2 linked regions of the Tribolium castaneum genome follow. Each later gene encodes a partner of the first gene's protein in a complex. Links are inferred from orthologs where the notes say so. Each region holds a gene or a part of one and is shown in the gene's direction. Other genes may lie near its edges.

Evidence for each region.
Region 2: mrn (region 1) and Polr2F share a complex: the UniProt entries of both Homo sapiens proteins name them as parts of the TBP-based Pol II pre-initiation complex. The link is inferred for Tribolium castaneum from reciprocal best matches to the Homo sapiens genes GTF2H4 and POLR2F.

Annotation. Positions count from the first base shown.
Region 1 is NC_087396.1:20,771,607-20,775,432, reverse strand, and holds mrn (general transcription factor IIH subunit 4), read left to right. Parts: upstream 1-957; 5' UTR 958-1,080; intron 1,081-1,106; exon of another isoform or gene 1,107-1,137; 5' UTR 1,138-1,157; coding exon 1,158-1,309; intron 1,310-1,354; coding exon 1,355-1,459; intron 1,460-1,508; coding exon 1,509-1,640; intron 1,641-1,692; coding exon 1,693-1,878; intron 1,879-1,926; coding exon 1,927-2,107; intron 2,108-2,164; coding exon 2,165-2,248; intron 2,249-2,340; coding exon 2,341-2,534; intron 2,535-2,585; coding exon 2,586-2,826; intron 2,827-2,870; coding exon 2,871-3,014; 3' UTR 3,015-3,041; downstream 3,042-3,826. Other genes in the region: G protein pathway suppressor 2, read left to right, coding at 3,346-3,656, 3,701-3,826. UniProt on the Homo sapiens protein: Component of the general transcription and DNA repair factor IIH (TFIIH) core complex, which is involved in general and transcription-coupled nucleotide excision repair (NER) of damaged DNA and, when complexed to CAK, in RNA transcription by RNA polymerase II.
Region 2 is NC_087398.1:1,182,196-1,184,359, forward strand, and holds Polr2F (DNA-directed RNA polymerases I, II, and III subunit RPABC2), read left to right. Parts: upstream 1-1,102; coding exon 1,103-1,498; 3' UTR 1,499-1,544; downstream 1,545-2,164. Other genes in the region: probable ATP-dependent RNA helicase DDX23, read right to left, coding at 1,557-1,774, 1,870-2,164. UniProt on the Homo sapiens protein: DNA-dependent RNA polymerase catalyzes the transcription of DNA into RNA using the four ribonucleoside triphosphates as substrates.

The DNA of each region.
Region 1 (3,826 bases):
GTCAACATTTTATTAATAATATTAAATATTTTTTTCTAGTACTATTTCTTTTTGTCGACGCATTTAACCCATTCCACATGAAAGCCCATTAAATACTCTACCTTTCCTGAAAATTTCAACCCTCTAAAAGTTTAAGAAGACATCTAACCCTTAGTTTGAAATATGTCAACATTTTATTAATAATATTAAATATTTTTTTTAGTACTATTTCTTTTTGTCGACGCATTTAACCCATTCCACATGAAAGCCCATTAAATACTCTACCTTTCCTGAAAATTTCAACCCTCTAAAAGTTTGGGAAGACATCCAACCCTTAGTTTGAAATATGTCAACATTTTATTAATAATATTAAATATTTTTTTCTAGTACTATTTCTTTTTGTCGACGCATTTAACCCATTCCACATGAAAGCCCATTAAATACCTACCTTTCTTGAAAATTTCAATCCTCTAAAAGTTTGGGAAGACATCTAACCCTCTGTTTGAATTAGTATGTCGTTCTATTAACTTTTTTTTTCAAATAATGTTTTTGAAGAAGAAATTAACGAATAATTATCTTATTTAGGTGGAATCTGCCCCCTAAATAATTGGGTAGCATGCCCTCCTCGTTTTTGTTTTGCCTTTATTAGGCGGTTTCACCTTTTTGTGTCAACTAGTAAACTATCTACATCCCCCATTGCTTTCAAAGATACAACAAGTTTGAAATTGCATTTACTTTATTTTTTTTAATAACAATACACTTGAATTTTAAAAGAAAATGAGTAAATAATTTATTTTCTTATAATTTGTGAGAAACGTAGCAACGTCGCAAAGTGCTGAAAACGCACATCCGTGATTTGACTGGTCCGCTGGAAATTTCATGGTGCTAGCTCTTTCCAAAGTGCTATCGTCACCGTAATATTTTTGACCAACCCTGCCACCCAAATTCCCCAACGTTTGAATAATTAAAAAAACATAGCCAAAATATTTTATGCCCAAAAACTTGGCATTTCGAAGCAGAGCGAAAACCAAGTTTTTTCTACACTTATTAAGACGAAGCGAGTGGTTAATTAAATAACAACTCCTTCGGAGGAAAAGTTGGGTTAGCTTTAAATCTGACAATTGCGTTGACAGTAGTTACCCTAACCCTAATTTTAAGTTTGCAAGGGGGCTGTTTAAATGGCAGACGCCGAGCCCGCGCAACCCAGCTCGCTTTTTTTGAAACCAACAAACTTAGAATGTAAAAACTTGTACGACTACTTAAAAACGCGCTCTTCGGCAACGTTGGAAAAACTCTACAACCATCCAACGATTTGTTTGGCCGTTTACCGGTAAAAACCCACTTTAAAATTCCAAATTTCGATTGACGATTTTAGAGAATTGCCAGAACTGGCACGCCAGTACGTGATTCGAATTTTGTTCGTTGAACAGCCGGTGCCCCAGGCAGTTGTGGCGTCATGGGGGGCTCAGGCCTTTTCCAAGTGAGTGTTTAAATGCGCTTGTACACACGAAAAGGGGGGTTATTTGTAGAGAGCACGTTTATGTGAGTAAGGTTTTGAGCGAATTGTCGGTATGGCAGGAGGCTGCGATTCCAGGGGGGCTCCTAGGTTGGATCCTTTCAGTTACGTTTAAAAAGAATTTGAAAATTGCCTTATTAGGGGGGTGAGAGTGTAATTAGTGTGATTATTGCAATGACTGCGTGATTTATCCCAAGGGGCAAACCTTGGAGCATGTCTTCGGCTTTAGAAGTTGACAGTAAGGCAAGAGATGTGTCTTTTTTGGACGCTTATTCGCTCGAACGGTGGGAATGTGTGTTACATTACATGGTGGGGTCGCAACAACAAGAGGGAATTTCTGCGGATGCTGTCAGAATTTTACTACACGCTGGGCTTATGAAAAGGTTGAATTTCTCCAAAATTGACTCGTTATCTTATTTATATTTATGTAGAGACGAGGAAGATGGCAGTCCTGTTATAACACGTCAAGGCTTCCAGTTTTTACTCTTAGATAGGCAAGCACAAGTTTGGCATTTTTTACTCCAATATCTCGACACAGTTGAGCAAAGAGGATTAAGTCTGGTTGAATGTTTAACGTTTTTATTCCAACTCTCATTTAGTACACTTGGAAAAGTATGTCATAACTCATAACACTTGGCGTTTTTTTTTAATAGCAACATTTTTTTGTAGGATTATAGCACTGAAGGCATGAGTCCCGGCCTTTTAATTTTTCTCCAACACTTGAGAGAATTCGGATTAGTGTATCAAAGAAAAGTAGGTCTTGTTTTCGTTACCATGGTTACCAAATTTTTTTTTCTGGACGTCACATTCCACAGCACCCATGATTAATGTAATTAATTTTGTAGCGCAAAGCAGGCCGTTTTTACCCGACCAGATTGGCCTTAAATATTACGTGTAGCCAAGGCCCCGAAACTCGAATTTTGGAGGAAGACACTCCAAAAGGTTACATAATTGTAGAGACAAACTACAGGGTTTATGCTTACACGGATTCTAATCTTCAAGTTGCTTTAATTGGTCTTTTCACAGAACTGATGTATAGGTGGGTCACAAAATAAATAAAAAAATGTTATGACTATCGGACTTTTCCCAGGTTTCCGAACCTTGTAGTGGGCGTAATAACACGTGATTCCATAAGACAGGCTTTGAAAGGGGGAATCACAGCCGATCAAATTATCGGGTACCTCAAACAACATGCACATCCTCAAATGTTGGAAGGTGAGGCCAAACATCCTCTACCTCCGACAGTTGTGGATCAAATCAAACTGTGGGAAATTGAGCGGAACAGATTAACGTATTCAGAGGGCGTTTTATACAGCCAATTCCTATCACAGGTATTACAAGAAAAATTGTTACGCGGTTTTAATTTGTGTTTTAGGCTGATTTTAATATACTGAAAGAGTATGCACAGTCTAATGGCCATCTAATTTGGTGTAACAAAGAAAAACGGACTCTAATCATCAATAAATCGGCACATGATGATGTTAAAAAGTTCTGGAAGCGATATTCGAAAGGAAATTAATTTAGATTTAATAAAAACTTTACCACTGATCGTGTTTCATTTAAAATTCCCTCGCGGATGAAACAGTATCGCCAATCTAAACCAATTCTGTTTTCACGCGAAACGGGCGTTTTTCGCTACAAATTCGTATCAAAATGTTGGGAGTTTCGGCCCAAGTGCTTAAACTAAAAAAAACATGTGGAAGCGGGTCAAAAATTTGAGTTTTCGCCCAATTTTGGTTAAAATCTGGCCAATAAATTGTTGGCAATCCTGCCGACAAGTGTCAAACGTCATGTTGACATTGACAGTTCCTGTAAAATAACAATACGAAATAATTCGTAATTTGTGCAAAATGCCTGCCGCTGTGGACAACAGCAAGCCGGATCGGTCCGAGCAGATGTGGAAGGTGCTCAAAGCGCACATTCTGCGTGAGCGCGCTCGCAAAAAGCAAGAACGGGAGGCCGAAGTGGAAGAGGAACGTCTCCGTAAAGAACGCGAAGCTCGCGAGCAACAAGACGTCATGACTTTGGGTGAAACCCGCGAACAGATCTCACAGCTTGAGAGCAAGCTCCAGAAACTGAAAGAGGAGAAACACCAGTTGTTTTTACAGTTGAAAAAAGTCCTCAACGAGGATGATAATAGGAGGCGACAGAAGGAGAACAAGTGGGTCATTTTTAGTATTGCATTGTTTAAAGACCACTTTTTAGTGACGTGCTGGCGATTCAAGCCCTCCCGACGGGTCTGGTGCACCACCAGCCGTTGTACATCTCGCCCAGTGTGCCCCGCAATGCTGTGCCCCAGCAACAAACGTTTAAAACTGCGGTCAAACGCCC
Region 2 (2,164 bases), on another chromosome or scaffold:
ACTCCAGGGATAATCTACACGCACTACCAAAGTAGTTAGAGTGCCTGATTTAGGTACTTTATGAATCATTATCATTACAAACACGCTTAACACCCAGTAGGGTAATTTGTACGACTTATGACTAGGCTAAGGTTTTTAATTCTCAACTTGTTTGCAATTATTTAATTATTTGAGCTTTATGACGAGCTCCGTCTGCGTTTTATTCAATTAATCAATAAGCAGTCGTACGCTAGAAACTACCACAAAAAATGGTTTGTTAACTAGACAAACACTGTGATTTAAACATCGCAATAAATCGCAGTTATTTTTACCATTTCTAGACAAAACTGCAATGGTGCGCTCAGCTCCATTTGCGTGTGCGTCATCTGACATTTCTCTCACTACGTTTACACAGCAGGGGCATAGCGGTGACAAACTATCAAATATTTTTTGAGGTTACGAAGTTGTTACAAAAAATACAGATTCACAAAACAAGAACTAATAAACGCAGAATCAAAAACCTAACGAAACGCAAATCACAAAACACAATAAACGAACAGAAAATACTTACGATTAACACCGATAACACACACTTTCGACAACGATGCGACGACGTCTATAATTTACTGTCAATGTCAATTAATGTTCAAGGATACCACCCTTAGATAGCCCTTAGCTGTTTAAATTTGCATTGTTTTTGACAATTTTTATAGCTTTGTGTTGGTAATGAAAAAATGAAATTGACGCACACGCAAATCGAGCTGACCGCCACTATAATAGACAAGACGGTATTTTATAAAGTCTGGAACAAATGCAATTATTTTATACAATAAAGTTGCTTGAATTTAATGTGTTTTATTTTTTTCGCACCAAATTGTTAACTAAACTTAAAAAAATCGTAACAATCAAAATTTCATCAAAAAAAGTTTTTATCGCAACTGCGACGCAACCAACAATACACTAAAGTAAAAGTATTGTTTGAACCGATAACAAGTTTCGGACTGATGCACTTTCGTGCAACTCTCCAATAACCAATACTTTTGACGTTTGACGCATTTGACATCTGAACGTTGTGCTATGTTTGTGTATGCCTTTAAATTAGTCAATTAGCTAGAAATCGAGAATGAATGACGAAGAATTCGACGGTGATGACGTGGGGGACGACTTCGACGACGACGTCGATGACGACAACATCGAGGAGCTGGAGCAGCCCGAGGAGGAAGGCGACAACATCGACATCCTCGCTCATGGCCAAGCCGGGGGCGGAGTGCCCAAAAACAAACGCATAACAACCAAATACATGACCAAATACGAAAGAGCTCGTGTTTTGGGAACAAGAGCTTTGCAAATCGCCATGTGTGCCCCAGTTATGGTGGAACTAGACGGAGAGACAGACCCGCTTCAAATCGCAATGAAAGAACTCAAACAACGGAAAATCCCCATCATAATCCGGCGTTATTTACCCGACCACTCGTACGAGGATTGGGGCATAGACGAACTCATAATAATTGACCACTAGTGTAATAAGATTTTGTTTTTAAGAATAAAGGCTAAGTAAACATCGAGTTTTATTTTAATTAAGCGAAAATCATTTCGTCGCGGCGGCGTTTCGGCTGATTGGGCCGAATCTGGCATTCAGGGTGGTTCATTAGTTCAGGGGGGCACGTTGAGACAGGTGACGATAGCAACATTTGCTTCAAATCGTAAAATAGGGCCGAGTCGTCGTTGGTGCAAAAACTGATAGCCACCCCGCTCTTCCCGGCACGGCCGGTTCGGCCAATACGATGGGTGTAATCTGAAAAAAAATAAACAAATTACAGATTAGATTTCCTTTTTTCTTCAGTTTGCACTAGTCATAAAGAAAAAAAATCTGGGACAAACTTATCTTACCTTCAATAGTCTTGGCCATGTCGTAATTAATAACAACGGAAACATCCTTAATATCAATCCCTCTCCCAGCCACGTCAGTGGCCACCAAAATGTCCTTAGCCCCCGACTTGAGACTAGCCAGTGCGTACTCTCTCTGCTCCTGCCCCTTACCCCCATGGAGCGTACACGCATTGTAGCCCAACTTCTCCAACCCTTTGGCCAAAACATCGGCCCCTTTCTTCTGATTAACAAAAATAATAATCGGTGGATCGACCCCTTTGGACAAATACTCCATCAACTTCTTCCTCTTATCGTT